4 linked regions of the Drosophila melanogaster genome follow. The protein of the gene in region 1 interacts with the protein of each later gene in a pairwise test. Each region holds a gene or a part of one and is shown on either strand. Other genes may lie near its edges.

The links.
Region 2: the proteins of cerv (region 1) and CG3708 interact in a two-hybrid assay, tested with the Drosophila melanogaster proteins (one large-scale study listed by BioGRID).
Region 3: the proteins of cerv (region 1) and EMC8-9 interact in a two-hybrid assay, tested with the Drosophila melanogaster proteins (one large-scale study listed by BioGRID).
Region 4: the proteins of cerv (region 1) and Spf30 interact in a two-hybrid assay, tested with the Drosophila melanogaster proteins (one large-scale study listed by BioGRID).

The regions. Positions count from the first base shown.
Region 1 is NC_004354.4:15,576,117-15,580,541, reverse strand, and holds cerv (cervantes), read left to right. Parts: upstream 1-2,370; 5' UTR 2,371-2,652; coding exon 2,653-2,731; intron 2,732-2,776; coding exon 2,777-3,390; 3' UTR 3,391-3,556; downstream 3,557-4,425. Other genes in the region: CG7872 (uncharacterized protein), read right to left, coding at 1,107-2,108.
Region 2 is NC_004354.4:928,298-933,075, reverse strand, and holds CG3708 (uncharacterized protein), read left to right. Parts: upstream 1-2,977; 5' UTR 2,978-3,091; coding exon 3,092-4,180; 3' UTR 4,181-4,278; downstream 4,279-4,778. Other genes in the region: CG3706 (uncharacterized protein), read left to right, coding at 714-2,048; MED22 (mediator complex subunit 22), read right to left, coding at 4,309-4,526, 4,591-4,692, 4,749-4,778.
Region 3 is NT_033778.4:22,880,568-22,885,405, reverse strand, and holds EMC8-9 (ER membrane protein complex subunit 8/9), read left to right. Parts: upstream 1-2,715; 5' UTR 2,716-2,806; coding exon 2,807-3,004; intron 3,005-3,485; coding exon 3,486-3,899; 3' UTR 3,900-4,084; downstream 4,085-4,838. Other genes in the region: YME1L (YME1 like ATPase), read left to right, coding at 50-109, 163-352, 406-498, 604-686, 742-1,058, 1,115-1,505, 1,581-2,244. UniProt on the Drosophila melanogaster protein: Part of the endoplasmic reticulum membrane protein complex (EMC) that enables the energy-independent insertion into endoplasmic reticulum membranes of newly synthesized multi-pass membrane proteins like rhodopsins.
Region 4 is NT_037436.4:23,712,842-23,718,010, reverse strand, and holds Spf30 (splicing factor 30), read right to left. Parts: upstream 2,989-5,169; 5' UTR 2,887-2,988; coding exon 2,845-2,886; intron 2,721-2,844; exon of another isoform or gene 2,297-2,720; coding exon of another isoform or gene 2,294-2,296; intron 2,110-2,293; coding exon 1,691-2,109; intron 1,639-1,690; coding exon 1,368-1,638; 3' UTR 1,322-1,367; downstream 1-1,321.

The sequences.
Region 1 (4,425 bases):
ACGATTGTAAATGTTTATTATTTTATGCTATTATATTACATTAAACAACTTGAGGACTTTGATTCTTTAGAAGAAATGATAAGGTAATAAATGCTTATTATTTCACTACCTTATGCTGTTATATTACTTTAAACAAATTGAGGACTTTGATTCTTTAGAAGAAATTATACGATTGTAAATGTTTATTATTTTATGCTATTATATTACATTAAACAACTTGAGGACTTTGATTCTTTAGAAGAAATGATAAGGTAATAAATGCTTATTATTTCACTACCTTATGCTGTTATATTACTTTAAACAAATTGAGGACTTTGAAGACATGTTTAAATAAAAATTGGTATACGTGAACTGCGAATAGCGAAATGCAAGAGCCACACGCATGTATCCGAAACTAAAGTCAGCATTTCGCAAAACAAATCAACTTTATTTGAAGGCTACCATTGAAAAATCTAGACTTCTTTACTCTTCAGCTTATTTTCAAGCACGTACTTAAGTTTAACTTTCAGCAACCGCACCAAACCAAGAAACAATAAAAAACGAAATTGTTTCTAAGCAAACTGTGTAAACAAAAGCACGGAGAGATGCTGTTTAGAGCGAATAAATGCCACGAGATCGAATTTTTGGCCATCCAGAACAACTGTGCAAACCAGGCACAGTGAACAACCAGTAAGAGAGACGTTTGAATTTTATCTAGTTTATTACAGTAATCGGTTTAGTCAAGTTAGTTAGGAAACACGCGAATGTGGCGTGCTTTTTTTGTGACCAGCCAGGTAGGGGTATAATTGTTCTAGGATGGTTCGTTCACGGCAGCCAGTGGACACTGTGCCGACGCGTACCGAACGTGGCCACGTTCTTGAACCGGTTTTGGCGGATCGCTCCGGCGGGGTCAACGTTTCGCCCTTTGGCGGACAACACCGGGACATTAACATAATTCATATTGATATAGTTGGTGTACAAAAAATTTCTAAATATATATATATAAATGTATCAAAATTTAGACGGTATGGGGATGCCGAGGGCGAGGAATTTGGGATCGGTTTTACAACACGCACACAACAGACTTTTAGATGGAACAATGAAACTTGAACATCGCAGAGCAGCGGCTAATCCTCAAAGGTGATGCGGCCGGGTCCGTGGTTCTTCATGTATCGCCTGTACGCCTTGTATCGTGGATTCTCCGCCAGCTTCTTTTTCATCTCCTCTTCCTGTTCTGCCTTCCAGGCGACGAAGTTCTCGCGCTTCCACAGCTTCAGATGCAGGTACTCCTCGATCAGCTTGTCCTCCTGCGCCTCGAACTGATGCTGGCCCATGCCCAGGTGCCGGCGGATGAGGTAGAGCTTCTGCTCGCGGCCATACGGCTGCTTCATTACCGTGTAGCGCCAGAACCACTGAGCGTGCCACACGATGAACGAGAGTATCGTGTAGGGGCAGATGATCAGCTGCACCCACAGCACATCCCAGAGTGTCGGCTTCGCATAGCCGCCCTTAACGTCCATCTTCTCCTCGATCACCCGCCGGATGATCCGTTCCAGCTCATCGCGCTGATCGTTCTTGGACATACGATTCTTGCCCTTCTTCTGGATCTTTTCCTGGATCTCGTCGCGAGCTATTTCCAGGGCCTGGTTCCTATACTTGGGCACCGTGGCAAAGTACTTGATGGCAGAATCGTAGCGCTGCCAGCCGGAATAGTACTGGATGACGGACACAATGGTTAGGACGACCACGATAACCACGCGCACATCCACCTTGGGCGCCACGCGTCGCCGGTAGTAGCGATAGTAATGCGCATAGTATGCATCCGGGTTGTCCAGCATGTAATCGTAGTCCGTGCGCGACTCCTCATCGCGCAGGATCTCGTAGGCGGTGGCCACCAGCTTAAACTGCGTCTCCGCCGCCGCCTTGGCCTCGGCACCCCGATGCAGATCTGGATGATAGCGCCTCGCCAGCTGGCGGTATGCTTTGCCGATCTCCGACTTGGACGACTCTCTGGTGACGCCCAGCACGTCGTAACAGTTTTCCTTGCCACAGTACAGGCCCTCTAGCAGGCCCAGGGCCATCGTGGGCAGCAGGGCCAAGAGCACCAACCGTAGTCCGTGCGTCCGCATCTTGGATAGCGCTTTCACCCTGGGGACACGTGTAGCTGCAGCTGGGGCGCACAGCTGGCACTCGTTGGCTGGGATCGGATCGGAGCGGATTGGTTGTGACTTGGATTGGTCCGCAGCAACTGGTGGCAGTGGCGGTCGCGCTGGCGCTGCTCGTCCGTCTGCTCGGCGTTTGGCACACTGAAAAGTTGGCCGCCGCTCGTTATCCAGGTTGACATTGGCCGATAACACCGATAACCGCGATAGCTCGCGGGTGGATAAGACCGTATGTTGGGGATATGGTCACTCTAAGTTAACTCATTTTACATTTTATTTTAGAGTCGCTAATTTGACGCACATTTATTTTACTTAAATTTCAGGCATAAAATCCATGCTTATACACCACGATTATTAACAGTTCGCCAAATACCGATTACACCCTCGTTAGGCTGCCTATCGAACTTATCGGTCCTAGCTGAACCTAGCTAAGCGTCAGTCTTGAACATTTGGATCCAAATATTCTGGATTTGCAATTTGCAAAGCGTCTGCATAGAATCTGGGCTTTAAAATGGACTTCAATTACCATGTGGATTCGGCACTTACCACTTTATTGGAAAACCAAAAGTTCTTCAAAGAAATGGCAGAAGGTAAGCCATGCGACACACTGAGACATCTTTAAAACCTACCCACAGTCGTGTCCGATTTCAGTGATGGCAGGGAGATCCAGAAGTTGTTGGACCAGAACGTGGATCTCGCCGAGAATCTCATCCGAATGAAGAGCAAGCACCAATTGCTCAGCAAGGCTATGAAGCATGCCAAAAACTCTAGCAACACCATCGAGAAGTTCGAGGAAGTCTGGAAGGAGCGCTCCGAAGCGGTGGAGCAGAAGCGCATCGATGTCAAGAACTCAGCCGAGTTCAAAAACTTCATGAAAGCGGCAGCTCCCCAGGCGGGTGCGGAAACAAATGGTCAAGCGAATAGCGCCGCCCATGACGAGGACCTTATCATGGAAGCCACCGGCGGCGAGGTCTTCTCGCTCTACGATCCCTGGTCCAAAGCCTTGATAAAGAACCCCGTGCGCAACAAAAAGTGCGGCCACATCTACGACCGCGACTCGGTGATGCTGATCATCACGGACAACATTGGTATTCGATGCCCAGTGCTCGGCTGTCCCAACAGGTCCTACATCCATCCAGCGCACCTGGTCAAGGACTCCAACCTACAGCAGAAGTTGCAAGAGCGCATGTCTGACGCGATCGAGAAAGAAACTTCCTCGGAGGAGGACGATGAACAGGCAGATCATTAATTATGCGCAACTTCCTTCTTGTCGACTAATAACGCAGCGTAAGATATCACGTTCTTGTAAGACAACCATTTGATGAAAATTTAAGGTACAACGAATAAACATGTTTTAAAAATAGTCCCGAAAAAATTTAGAGAAAATATATTAGAAGTGCAGTATGCACGTATGTATATAGTTTGCGATTTATTTAGAAAATTGGTACAAATGTAGAAACAAATGAATATATAGCACGATTGCCATCGAAATCATCGCCGAAACATTCTAGCGAGTCTTTGCCGCAGACGATCCACATCAGACTCATATGGCACCAATGGCACCTTGTCATTATCCGGATCGCTACTATCTTCAGAGGAGATCCAGACTGATTTACCATTGCTAAGCTTCGGCTCTGAATCCCCGCAAGCCATGGGGTCCTTCAGCATGGCTGCTTCCTCATTGTTTTTGGTTTTTTGCCGGAAAAAGCTTCCGGCATGGGTGCCTTGGTCAATGGGCCAGCTGTTGGCGACTTGCGCTGGAAATCTCTACAAATAACGAAGAATCTATCGGGAGCGGTGAACGGAATAATGAAATCGGTGAGCTCTATGAAGAATCGTAGGACTTCATTGTTTCGTTTAGAAAACCTATCAACTTGTATGCGTAAAGCATTTTCTTGAAATGGTCATCTTAAAAATGCTGTGCTTTGCAAATAGTTAAGTATTATCCGCTCGGATATGTGAATCAACTGAGGTCCTCACGCCAAATTATAAATGTGACTTGTAGACTGCAAAGTCATCGCCTTCTTTTTTGAGTTCTTGACACAAGCAAAAAGGGTTGCCATGGCGTTGTCATGCCCTTGGAGATAAAACCTCTAGACTCAAATATTCTTATTATGTTCCGCTGACATAATAAGTATTAGTGTTTTTATTTCATAATAAATTATGCAATTTACAGCATCGGAAATTGGTAGCTTCAGTATAATATTATCAAATATATTCAGTTTTATACCCGTTACTCGTGAAAGGGTATAGTAGATTTGTTAAAAAGTATGTAACTGGCAGA
Region 2 (4,778 bases), about 15 Mb from region 1:
CGATTTCCGAGTGTTGGCAAGTGCTCTTCGCGTCCCTTAAGGACATTTTCTAGTGTTGGCAATGGGAGTCTGGCACTTGAAGCACTTGAATCGAATTCTAACGGCTAGGTTTCAGCACTCCAGCTAGTTTTCACATCCATCGACTTGGAAAATCTCTCTTTTGGCGAGATTGTCAGCTCCAGAGCCCCACTACATCCAGTCGGGTCACATCCAAGTACCCACGAACACATTTGCTGAAGCACTCGGTCTATGCAATTTTTTATCTTGGCCAATCGTTGTGGAACTTCTACGCAAGCAGACTTTGCACCAGAAGATAGCCTGCACCACGGCTATCTGGAGCTGGCTATCGGCCGCTCCTGGCGACGATGACGATGACGAGTCCAGCTAATGTATCAATCAGAAATCGCGAGCGCAGACAGATCCAGATTTAGCGAGCTAGTCATGCATCGCCGCAAAGCCCGTCGATTCCGACCCGATAAGCCCAGTCCGAGGAGGTGGGGCCGAAAAGTGGGTTTAGACGGTGGCGGCTTATCGAGTGGCGATAAGCGGGACACAAGACCCACTTCCCCACACATTGTCCAGTGCAGGCCTCGCAGTCGCGTCCAATTGGCCAAGCCGTTCGGTAACGGAGCATTTTTGACGAGGATCGACATTCCGCGGAACTCCAAAGAGGATTTAATTTTGAACAGATTTTGAGCATCTTGGGACACAACATGATCGCAGCGCTCGGGCTGATCTTCGGCATTCTAACGGCCTTGGTGGTCGTGGCACTTAAGCTACTGGGCCTGAAGCCGCCACTAATCTTCGGCAAGTACCCACTGAAAGGCATCTTTTACCGGGTGAAGTTCTGGATCGCCCTGCTTGTCCTTCGCCGCCTGAGGTACCGCATCTACCGTCGGAACGAGGAGCTGCTCGGCTCCGAGGAGCACCTGGCCAAGGTCGACAGGCCGCAGCAGCTCAGCAACGACCCGAAGAGCTATGACGTGGTCAGCTTCATGGCGGCCAACAAGGAGGGCCAGAAACTAATGGTCACCTTGGAGCGAAGGAGGCGCGGAGTCCTCAAGGCGGCACTGTACCTGTGGCTTCCCGAAAGCGGCCTGTTCAGTTCGCCGAATCTGCCCGATATGGTATACTTCACCACCGCGGATGGAGCGGAGAGCAACGCGTTCCAGGGTGGAGGCTTCCACGTCTACCAGGAGGCATCTATGCGTGTGTGGCGGCTCAAGTACTCCGGACTGCTGAAAACTCAAGGGCCGGACGTGCAGGACGTAGCCGTGGACTTGGACCTCCGTTTCGAAAGCTCCTCCGCTGAGCACTTCGACTACAACAGAGATCTGAGCAGCGCCCTGATAGCCGACTCCATAGCCAGAGAGGCCTGGAACGAAAAGTTCTACAGCCTGCTGCGCAGCGTCAACCACATCGTAGAGAAGCGCACCCACTACGAACAGAACGGAGAACTGGCCGGCCAGGTCACGCTCGATGGCAAGGAGCTGGCGCTGAAAATGGTGGGCTTCCGGGACCACAGCTTCGGCACCGAGCGCTGCCTAAGCTCCATCAACCGGTACGTGTACTTTGCCCTCTTTATGGACGATGGCAGCAGCATGGTGGTGGGCAGCCTCAGTCAGCCGTCCTTCTTCCTGTCCTCCCTGAAGGTGGGCTACGTGTGCAGCCCCGAGCGGCAGTATCAGCCGCTGACCGGGAGCAACTTCGAGCTGTACTCGTACGGCGAAAAGGGAACGCCGCCGCAGCACCAGAATTTCATTGTGCGCACCGAGGAGCGGGAGTACCTCGTGCAAATCCAGGTGGAGGCCTCCGCGCTGCGCTACGTCGGCGGCGACTGGGAGTCTAAGGTGTTCAACCAGTTTGTGGCCTGCACGGTCAACGGAGTTCCCGGCCAGGGCCACGCCGAGTTCCTGTACCGCCACAAGGGCGGCAGGCCGGAGGATATATCGTCCGGGGACCCCGGCTGGTACCAGGACATCAAGCGCTTCGAGAGAAGCCTCTCGTTGCTGGAAGAGGAGGGCCAGGACGAAGACTTCATCTTCTAGGACGCCGACGAATTGTTTTTGTTTTCAGTTTAAGATAGCATGTAAAAGTATGGGGGAGACCCATCCTATCAAAATAAAGAGATTTTGTTTGAATGACATTCGAGATTCTGAAGTCATTGGCCGCGCTGATGTCATCGGTAAGTCCAAACTAATTCAGTTAACCAACAATCCAACAGCAATATCCACTGGAGGCCATCCGGTGCAGCTGCAATCTGGTGGACTCGGGTCGATGAGGAAGATTACCGAATCGCTGGTGGAGGAATTGGACCCCCCGTGAGGATTAGTCGCCCATAAATTAGCATGCGACAGACGAACGGATTAGATTGGACAGCTACTTCGGTTTTTCTCCCAATAAATAATGGCGATTCGGGCCATCGGTTTATGGCACCCAAAAGACAACGGGCCCCACTTATCGCTCCGTCGGGCCAATAAAACCCAAGACCAGGCACCAAGACTGGGCCCAAGTGCCCAGGTGTCGCAGATAAGAGGCGAGCGGCGGGGCAGATAGCTTCAATCCAACAAAATAAACCATGCTCGGGATCTGAATGGAGCATTATGCTGCCGTCCGGTTCCGACCTGCCGCAATGTCAGCTTATGGTGGGCCGATAAGTGCCGGGCATGACCCTCCCTTCAGTGTCCAGTCCACAGCCCATATCTGGGCTCATGAGCAGGTAGCTCCGATAACGCAACCGCCGACAGATATTGGCCACCGATTTGCCCGGAATTCGGCAAATCATGCACTGTTTCTGGAATTCGCCTTCATTAATTATGCACGTAACTCTGAAGTGGTATTCCTCGTAGGCGAAATTATTTGTTAGATTACGCAGTTATTGTAATCAAAAATGCGATTGCTTCTGGGCAAATCCAAGGAATCATCAGCCGAATTTTCGTTCCCAGTAGTAGGCCGGTTTCTGTGGAAATCAAGGAACAGCTTTGATCTAGCATAGTAGTTTCCAAGTGCCCAGTCGCAGAGCTGGAATATACTTGTAGATTTATATACATATATGTTGCCAAATTTCGAAGTTATTGCACCGAATTGCACAATGATTGGGATGGCTGACAGCGCGGAGGGGGTTACCCAGGAAGACAGCCACACGGAGTCGAGGGCAGACGGCATCAGCGGGTCCTTGCGCTCCCTGGGCACATATACCCAGGAGTCCACAGAGCCGGCTTTGAGTCCGGCGGACCTTCCCGCCCGCAGCCGGAAGGCCTTTCTGCGGCACATGATCGGCCAGCTGGCGGAGCCCGTGCAGAACCGCATACGGGCACTGCGGCACAATCAGCTGCAACAGGTACGCATTTCGGAGCAGTTCTTCCGGGAAGTCTACGAGCTGGAGCGACGTTTCTACGGCCAGAGCTGCGCGCTCTTCGATGCGAGGCGGGATATTTTGGAGGGTTCGGTGGAGCCACCGATCCAAACGGAGAAGACCTGGCCCGAGGACCCGCAGGATGCTCTGTACCTGGACTTCGGGAACAACGAGGAGCTGCGACAGCTGAGGCAAAAACTGGCTCCGGTTTCGCCGACTACGCTGGGTGTTCCACGCTTTTGGCTGACAGTTTTCCAGAACGTGCCCCTGCTCTCGGAGTTGGTCCAGGATCACGACGAGCCGCTTCTGGAGAGCCTAATGGATGTGCGCCTGGCTTACGACCAGGACAGCTACATGGTCATCTTTCAGTTTCGGCCCAATAGCTTCCTGCACGATTCCTCGCTGCTGCTCACGAAGCGCTACTTTCTGCAGCACTCGGCGGACCCGGAGTATCCCTTTCTGTTCGAAGGGCCCGAAATAGTTCGTTGCGAAGGCTGCCACATCCACTGGCGCGATGGCTCCAATCTCACTCTCCAAACGGTGGAAAGCAGGCGAAGGAACAGAGCACACCGAGTCACCAAGGTCATGCCTCGGGAGTCCTTCTTTCGCTTCTTTGCTCCGCCGCAGGCCTTGGACCTGTCGCTCGCGGATGAAAAGACCAAGCTGATCCTTGGCAACGATTTCGAAGTGGGCTTCCTGCTACGCACCCAAATCGTCCCGAAGGCGGTGCTCTTTTACACGGGCGACCTAGTTGACAGCCTGAGCGCGGCCTCTCCGGACAGTCGCTCCTTGTCCTCGGAGGCGGAACAGGAGCAGGTCTTGTGAGTGCGACGCGACTAGCTGTTTGCTAAACAAAATTTACAAGTGAATGTGGTAATGATTTCTTATTAAATTCTACAGTTCGGCCAAAGCCAGTTCATCACAAATAAGGTGAACCCCTTCCCCTCCTAGCGCTACTTAAAAATGCTGGTGTAGTACTCCTCCTCCAGGTCGTACAAGTCCATGGCCATTTCGTCCCTAAGTTTCATCAGCTTCTTGTCGCACTCGCTCTGTGTGTTCCTGAACAGCTGCGAATTGTTTGTGATGGCCTCGTTGACCGAGTGAAAGTCGTTGAGGATTAGGTACTGTTTTAGGTCGGCCACCAGCTTCATCAGAGACTCGCCGGCACGGACTATAAAGCGGAATGCATGAAGGAAATGGCTCGAATCTGGTTCCCAGGGAGTGGATTTACTCACCCATGTTGGCCGCGCGGACCTGCATTTCCAGGGCATCCTGTTCGCACTGCGTGGTCTTCGAAATCTGGCTGTGGCTCTCACGGCGCGCCAGCTTGAGTATTTCTGGAGGAGAACACGGTATTACAATCTATTGCTCGGAGCAACTGAGCCGCACTTACCTTCAAAATTCTCCAGCATGCTGCGAACGT
Region 3 (4,838 bases), on another chromosome or scaffold:
TGCAAATTATCCTTTCGAGGCTCCGCTTAATCCTGGTTTATGTTTTCAGCAAGGTGATTCCAACTATTACACCAGGTCTTCTTCGTCCGCTCTTCTCACAACAACAGCTGTAATTATACGGAAAGTATCTACGAACTATATCTCAAATTTAGCTCTTTATAGAAATCAGATACGTGGCTTTAAGACGGATCGTTCCATTGAGGCGGAACAAAAGCGCAATCCCACAATGACCTCCCGACTAAAGAATGCTCTGGCCAACTCGCCCCAGCGTCTGGATGGGGACACACCCCTTCAGGCTGAAAAACTGAGACGGCTGCTGGCCAAATCCGAAGAGCATGGATTTAATAAAGCCGTAGGACGACAGGGTCTCTCAATTGTTAACCGTACTAATGTTTTGTATTCCAGGAGAGCCTGAAAATTGCCTTTGCCGAGGGCTACTTGGCCGCCGCTAACTCGGAGGACTCTCCAAAATCAGGAAAAACTATGAAATATCTGAAGGTACGAGTTTAAATTCATTCAAAGTGTACCATGATTACTTTGAAAACCACAGAAGGCCTTGGTCTTCTTTAGTGTTATAAATAAATTCTAGTAATTGTCACGCAGACTTTGCAGACTATCGTCGTTATCGTCGTGTTCTTGGGCATTTTCCTGAGCTTCTTTACAACCTCCAATGGATCCGTATTTCGGTGAGCCTCCACGTTATTAGTTTTGCTTTACCCATCTGATATGCCTTTCTTTCAGCAGCATACAACTGGGCAACCAGGTTGAAGTGGACCCTGAGGAGATCAACGTCACTTTTGAGGATGTCAAGGGTTGCGACGAAGCCAAGCAGGAGCTCAAGGAGGTCGTTGAATTCCTGAAGAGTCCGGAAAAGTTCTCAAATTTGGGCGGAAAGCTTCCAAAGGGAGTGCTCCTGGTTGGCCCGCCGGGTACTGGCAAAACACTGCTGGCCCGTGCCGTCGCCGGTGAAGCCAAAGTTCCTTTCTTCCATGCTGCCGGACCGGAGTTCGACGAGGTGCTCGTAGGCCAAGGAGCCAGACGAGTGCGTGATCTGTTCAGTAAGTAGATTTCAATTATCCAAAGTGCTCAACTAAACAAGAACATCATCTTGCAGAGGCAGCAAAGGCCCGTGCCCCTTGTGTTATCTTCATTGACGAAATCGACTCGGTGGGCGCCAAGCGAACCAACTCTGTGCTGCATCCTTACGCCAATCAGACCATCAATCAGCTGCTCTCCGAGATGGATGGCTTCCATCAGAACGCTGGCGTCATTGTTTTGGGAGCCACCAATCGTCGCGACGATTTGGATCAGGCTCTGCTGCGTCCCGGCCGATTTGATGTAGAAGTCATGGTGTCGACGCCCGATTTCACTGGACGTAAGGAGATATTGTCTCTGTATCTGACGAAGATTTTGCACGATGAAATAGACTTGGACATGCTGGCGCGCGGCACCTCTGGTTTTACTGGAGCGGATCTGGAAAACATGATTAACCAAGCGGCGTTAAGGTAAGGAATAACTTGTGTTGTATTATTCAATCACAATTTTGAAGAGCGGTACTAATAATTCTAACATTTTGGCAGAGCTGCCATCGATGGAGCCGAAACGGTCAGCATGAAGCATTTGGAAACGGCACGAGACAAAGTACTTATGGGACCCGAGCGCAAGGCTCGTCTACCGGACGAGGAGGCCAACACCATAACCGCTTACCACGAGGGCGGCCACGCGATTGTGGCCTTCTACACCAAGGAGTCGCATCCGCTGCACAAGGTGACCATCATGCCCCGCGGACCCTCCCTTGGACACACCGCCTACATACCGGAGAAGGAGCGTTACCATGTCACAAAGGCACAGCTGCTGGCCATGATGGACACCATGATGGGCGGTCGTGCTGCTGAGGAACTGGTCTTCGGCACGGACAAGATTACGTCGGGAGCCAGCAGTGATCTCAAGCAGGCAACCTCGATCGCGACGCATATGGTCAGGGACTGGGGCATGTCGGACAAGGTCGGTCTTCGCACCATCGAGGCGTCAAAGGGTCTGGGCACCGGTGACACCCTTGGTCCCAACACCATTGAAGCCGTGGACGCGGAGATCAAGCGCATCCTCAGCGACAGCTACGAGCGGGCGAAGGCTATCCTGCGAAAACACACCAGGGAGCACAAAGCGCTTGCGGAGGCGCTTCTCAAGTACGAGACTCTTGACGCCGACGACATCAAGGCAATACTGAATGAAAGCCAGACGTAGTTCCCCCATCGGTGTGGTTTGATGGTGTTCAAGGATCCAATTGGAAGGCCGGGTTGGTCTGCCACCGGACATTCAGCTGAACTGCTAAATATTTTTAGTTACAATATACATATATAAAAAACCGGAGAAAAAAACCAAGCAAGAGCGAGACGCAGACGGACAGTTAAGAAATAAAATGTTACACATATTCAGTTATGTTTTCCATCATTCACGTTAGAATTAAATATTAGTTTGAGTAATAAATTAATTTGAAGTGGAATCCACATATTGTTTGCGCGCCCATATCGATGTGACCAGACTACTGCAACCTATGTTAGAAACCATTTTCTAGAACTTAAGTTATAAATATATTTTCAATGTTAAAGACATAATTAACAAATATAGTTTTGATCACATTTTTTGTGGAATCCATTCCATGCTCATCCATTTTAGTATTTTTCATTGTATATTTGACGTTTGCGGTATATTTGAACAGCTGCGTCGCGGTCACACTTTCTAGCTGTCGAATTTCCAATTCATGTTTTATTTTTTGCCGAATAAATTGAGATAATATTCTGAGAAAATGTGCGACTACAAGGTCTCGGAGCGGGCGTACGCCAAGTTGATATTCCACGCGGCCAAGTATCCACACCAGGCGGTCAACGGACTCTTGCTGGCCGAGAAGACATCGAAGGGCTCCCAAGTGGAAATCGTGGATGCGATTCCGCTTTTCCACCAGTGCCTGTATGTCACCCCCATGGCGGAGGTGGCCCTCATGCTGGTAATTACCAATTGCCCTTCCTAAACTCACATCACGAGGGGCTCGGTGCATTTGTGTCCGGACAGCAATGTGGTGCGCCCCATAATGGAACTATTATGGCTTCAATTTGTATCTAGATCCTCGCACCCTGGCCAAACACTCCGCTATCCAAAAGATATATAACTATTCTAACTTATTGCGGCTGCATAGTTATCCAGTGTTGTGCTTAGAACAGAAAGGTTTATGTTCCAAGCGATCTTTATTTAGTAAAATGTACCTTGTACCCCACGATGGTATTTTAATATTAGCATATCAAATTCAAAAACTAGTGTCACACCACTTTTACCCTGTTAGAAGTTTATTACCCAAATTAAACTAGCAGTCTTAAAGCATTGAAGTTGTGAAGACTGAATTAAATTTAAAAGCCGATAAGGTTGTACCATTGTTTAAATTAAAACATTTTATAAAATAACGATAATAATACATTACCTTACACTTTCAGATCGATGCCCACGCCGAACGGGAAGGATTAGTAATCGCAGGCTACTACGCAGCACCGGAGAACTTCTACGACAACCAGGTCGACAAGACCCCAGCCGCCAAGATAGCTGACAAGATCCAGGAGAACTTCAAGAACGCCTGCTTTGTGGTGGTGGACAACAAACTGATGACGCTGCAGCACGACCGAGCCGCCATCCAGGTATTCAACTGTCCCGGAGACTCTGGAGCAAGGTGGTCAAAGGCCAAGTTTACGCTCTCACAGGCGTCCGATACATTGGAAGGCGTGTCGCTGCTGCTGAAGCGCGGAGCCATGCGGGATTTGGTTGACTTTGACAACCATCTAGATAATCCGGACAAAAACTGGACCAACGACTTCCTGAATCAGCCGCTCAACGATCTGCAGAAACTGTACTAGTCGTCCGTTTCAAACGTACGTTTTTTTTTTAGTCTAGCAAAATCGCATTCGAGGGAACATGCCGGAATTTCAACCTTGCAATTTAATTTATTGTAATTACATTTGGATTTCAGTAATCTTTAGAATAATGCATATAAGTTAAATAACATTCAACTAATTAATAAATAATCAATTCTTTCATCATGTTTTGAGTCAAATGTTGTCTGCAGTCCGAGTCCGTCTGTTGGTGCACCTATTGTAATATCCTTTTTAAGTCCGGTCCGGTCCGGTTCTGTTCTGTTTATTGTGTTGAGTAAACCTAAGCGCGTTACAATTATCGTTAATAAATACAGATGAATAATATGTATATAATTTTGCTTTTGGTTTGTCTGGCTTGTAAATTGAAATATTTTACAATAATATTGTAATATCGCGATTGCTGATTATACATAGGTATACATAATACGTACTTATGTGGATATATCGGAGATCGAAAGTATCGCAAAAACGTTTATTTATATAATTTCAGTGTATTGTATATTTTCATATTATCTGATCGAACGCATAACGAACTCTTTACACCGTACACTAAACGTATAGGGGACCGGGACTACGAATCACTGATCACGGATCTCTGATCACCAACGGGATGCCATCCTGAGCACCTTACTCGTATTTGATTTGCCAGTTATATGCTATATGCTTCTGTAGTTCTGTGTATAAGGAGTATGCTTTGGGCTTGTATATAATATCTTTTGCTTGATTGAGTTATGTCTCTTGTTGGTTATTTTTCACCCAGTGTCCGCTGGAAGGGATGGGCAGGTGTGGGTGTGGCTGTGGTCGTGGTCGTGGGCATGACATGGGGGAATCTGTTCTACGTGGGGCGCCTTTTGATTATATCCTAGCTATACAAGAGCGCCTGAACACGCAAGCATAATCAGTATGTAAGAGTATGAGGCA
Region 4 (5,169 bases), on another chromosome or scaffold:
GATGATCCTAAAATGATCAAAACCTTATTCATTTTGCTAGTCCGTCCGCCTTTTGAATATGGTCCACCAGTCTGTAGTCAACAATACTTAGTTCACTCGGACCTCATTGAATCGGTTCAAAAAACGTGTTACTGCTTGCCTAGCGGCGCCTAAATTTGTATGCAAGCCTTTTTATCATGTGCTTGAAACAGTCTATGTTTTTAAGCTTATTCGCGCTTGCACGATTTATCTCTGCTCTGCGCTATTAATAGCACTCTTTAACCAGTGGTCACCAATTATAACGGTGCCAGCAAAATACCGCCAAAAAAATCAATGCACAAGAGCACAGATTTTATTCCCATTGAGATGCGTGCAAAGTTATGGAAAGATAACTTAAAAGGCGCTTCAGAAGATGCCTTTTAATACGTTAACGGAGTCACCATTGTGCCTACGACAGCTTTTGTTAATTTTTCAGTAGCCTCGACCGCAGCTGGTTGCTGATCAATTACCTGGTCATGTGGAGGTACTTTCTCAACTGGCAGTGAGCCTCTTATGGTTAGAAGCTCAATCCAAGTTAACAAGCTTAACCAGAAAATATTGGAAAAATTGTCTCCTTCTACCGAAAAAATAAAAATTGATAAAAAAAAAGCTTACTCGTGGTGAAGTTGATAGTCCCGGCTACATTTTCCCTGTTTCAAGCAAATTCACTAGAAACTACATAATCATAATACTAAATCATAGTCTTTTTATTAGCTATTTTGAGCAATGAAAACACGAATTGTATGTAGTGATTTCAAACTATAAGATTTTATTGGATTTAGCGAGCAAGATTGTGCTTCGATGAATATATGCGTAGATAGCAAAAGCGCATAATAATGAGTGACTTAATTGCTGAGCGAACAGCAGAACACTAAGCCAACGGTGTAGATGCGAGAGTACTAGAGAGATCGTGACAGAAAAACTTAGATAACGAAGAAAATTATATAACTGTCTCCAAAGTTTGCATGTTTACAAAGTATATATCAGGAATTGCTGGCGCCTTCGTGACCCGAAAGCAATCAACTCTTACTTTTTTAACACATAATTAGATTTTAATTATATTTATATTTATATCTATTATATTTCTTTTATATTATATTTTTTCCTAGATTTCTGTACGATATAGAAGCGTCTATCCTCTCGCGAATCGAGCAGTATGATACGCGGCACACGAGAACCGGACCATCGATTTTGCGATATCAAAATCAAATCGAAAAATTTGTACGAATTCGATTACCGAAGCGGTAATGCCCGGTAAATTTATAAATTTCACTATAAAGATTATTATTATTATTGTTTTCTTATATTTTTATGAACCTTTTTTATTATACCGTTTAATAGATAATATTCTAAAGACCTTTTCTATATTTTTCACCCACAGTAAAATCTGTCATGCCCTTTCCTGCAGTTCCACAAGTGCCGACTCCTACTCTGCCGCTTACATTATCCGGAGACGCAAATATACTTCTTGCTTTCATTCCGTTTTTTTTTTGGTTTTTGTTGTTAAAATTAAGCCATTTGTTCTTGTCTGATTCACGTTCCTCTTCCAAGTCCTTGAAGCGCTGTTGCTTTTTTTGCTTACGTTTTTTTAAATATTCTTTTTGATTGGGCCTGTGCCGCCTGTAAAAACCGTTTTAGAAATTTATTACTCTTACTGTTAAAATATTTATACTTGTTTGACGGAAAAACTTCGTTGCGAATAGTACGTTCACGCAACTCATTGACGTGGGTCGTAGATCGATTTTGATAGGCATCGAATATTACATTAACTTCTCCTGTACTTGATATATCTTCAATAGTTGCATCGTAGTACTGACGATCCTCCTTCCATTTAGCTTGACACTTGTCTCCTTTTTTCCAAATCTTAGCAGCTGAAACTAATTTTTCTGCTTCTAATAGAGCTGCTTCTATTTCGTCGAAGTAGTTGGACGAATCTCTTTTGGTTGATGATGGCTCCACATATGAAGATTTATTTTGTTCTTCCAGTTGAGTTTGTATCAAATCACGAGTAAGGGTAATAACTTCGTCAAGATCACTTCTGAGTTTTAATAGCTCTTCATTTTCTGGATCAGTTTGAAGAGCTGCCTCCACCTAAAAATTAAATTTATAATTGCTTAATTCATGTGCAACAATTTCAATATATTACATTGTAGATTGAATAATTCAAAAAAGTTTATTTATATATGAACATTTCACAATAAACTGATCTTTGAAATGCCACGCATTAGGAAGTAAACTTTCTAACCAGAAGCTGAATCTTTATGTACAGGCTTACCATAAGCGCTTGTTTTAAGGGGTTGGCTTATATACACGTTTTTTAAAAGCACAAATAAATTTCCAATGTTTGGTTTGATTCAGTAGGGGAATACAATAATAACATTACTAGGCCATGGCCATAAACGAGCCAAACGAAATCAAGGAATAGTTTACACAACATTTTTAAGTGATAGTATTTATCCAAGCTATGTTATGAAAGCTGTATAGAATATCTCTGTATATAGTCGTCACCGTTCTTCACACCGAAGTTGCGAGTTGTTTTCCAGTACGAAGCTGGATTCTTTTTCAAACTCCTAACATGGCAACGATGTTTGTATATAAATGATTGGGACCGGACATCCACAGGAAATTGGTTTGTATTTCTTCGTTTATATGTACATATGTACATATAGTACTCGCCATCCTCCAGTTGCGCTTCATCGACTACTGACTACTATTATTTTAAAGGACTGAACAAAATGTCTTTACTTAAAGAATATAAGCGAAACATATACAATCTTGACCAAGACCACACCAAAATATATACTTTATTTAATTAATTATACACACTTGTTGCAATTGTAGCTTATAATTATGCAAGTCGTCCGCCATTTAAGTACTGTCAGATTCCACTATTTACATTGGATAATTTAAGAAATTATTATATTATTTATTGAATAGGCTAAGGCAGCGGAACCAAGTCTACTACTATATTACGTTGTTTTGGAATAATATTTACGTAAGTAATGGAATTTATATGAGTTTCTCACAGATTAGCATCAACAACGTATCAGACCTATAAGAGACCCGGTTTTGAAGCGATTGAAATCGTCATTTAAAATAACACGTTAAAATCAGAAGCATGTTGTAATTTGCTTAGATGGCAAAATATAAAAATATAGGTATTTTACGAACAGTGTATGTGTATAATGTATGTGCACTGTTCCCACAGATGCCATTTCCCTAAGCATGGCTACTTTTTAAATTTTTCGATTTCAAAGATAATGAATGTGTAATGTGCGATTCTATGGACCTTACTATATAGACTGTTCTATTAGACATAATCGTATTTTTTTTCGATTTTGATTCGGGCAAAATCGTTTAATTGCGTTTTAAGGTGCTCTGGTTTTTGTTTTGCTATCGGACAGCTGTTTTCCTGACATTAGAGAGGCCACCTTTTTCACAGTTTTAATTCCGATGTCGGCAAATTTTTGTTTGTCAAATCAATAAATTTTGTATAAAATAACTAAGTGACAGAATAATCTTATGGTGATTTGCAATAAACATCAATATACCACTGAGTAAACAATTTTTTCCTTTAGTAAATAAGATCTGATAAGATTTGACAAAAGTACCCGTTTTACAAATCGAACTAACTTCTAATGTTAGGCTTTCGGATTTGTTTACATGAATGGCAAAGTTCCGTTGCCAATGAATTTGTTTATCAAAACGCATACTGAGCAGATGGCATACAGTACGGGAACCAATTAACAGCTTTATTGTTCAGGGAATTAATGAAATTGGCCGGTTTGGGTGGCGCAAATACGTCACTATATAAATGAACGTTCACAATAAACATTCGACGGCGTAACTTTTAAATGTCTCTTTATTGAGCAGAGCAAGTGCTTACAAGGTTAGAAAATAACTGAATAAACGAATACAAGAATTCAAATTAAAAGCATCAAGATGGAGGCCGTCCTCGGCCGCCCTTAACTCAGCGAACGCCACGTAAAATCGTCTCGTGGATTTCCTGGCCTTCTGGGCACGCCAACCCACAATGGCAACACACAACAGAAGGCAACATGATGCTGCCACGATTAGTGCCACTCGCTGGGGGCGTTCTGCGTTGACCTCTTCTCTGAACCTTCGTATTGTCTTTAAGTTATGTTCATTCAGGCGATTAAGTTACGTTCATTTAGGCTATGAAGGTATGGTAGACTGAGCACGCTTTGTTGGGAGGTGACATTCAGCAGAGGGAATTTTGCTACCCCCGGTACTCTGTTTTGGACCCCGTTCTGGTTGACGTACAGGGTTCCGTTAATGACGGCATGACGGGTGCCGTCGACCCCTACGAAAGATTCGCGGAGTGCCTCACATAGGCAGAATTTTTCCAAACCAGGATCTGGCCGTCGACTATGGGAATGTATTTGGCGCGCGAAAGGTGATGAGTGCCGATGCCAATGATAGATATACGAGAAGGATAAAATTGGTTCAGTGGGTGAAAGTTTAAATGGTTAATTTTTCTGTTTTGCTGACAAGGGGGAACCCAACCCCAATAACAAGAAAAATGCTTAAGAATATGATATGCGTGGATCTACTACAAATTGCTAAAAAATTTAAAATTAAGCGGTACACGGACTTTGCTACTGAGCGCTTTATTTTAAATTGTCCTTGACCACCCTCTCCTCAATAAGGATTGTGGTCCCCATGTCCGCTTCTACAGCTCTTTCCTCGCATATGAGCTTGTTGCCAAGTCTTCGGTTGGATTTTACCTACATCTCTTCGCTAACATCGAATACCCTATTCTGCGGCGAGACATTTTCTCTGACCCTTAGGTTTAAGCTTTCTGGATCCTATTGTGGAAATCTACCTGTGGCTCATCAGGTTGCGTTACGACGATTTCAGCCGGTCTCCTTTTGATGACCGAGTGAATCGACTTATTATATTGGGTAGTTACCAACATTACTATTTCGACCGTATCACTTATGCCCTTGTCTATCCTTATGCACCTGGTTAGCTCCAGCAACGTGGAAACGCTCCACCTGTCCGTTGGAGGTACTGTTTAGTAGTGGTGCGTTTGTAATGCTTACATCAAAGTTGTTACAAAGCATGGACACGATCGTGTGCGACTTCAACGACGGGTCGTTGTCGCAATAACTGATCTTTGACCTTGGG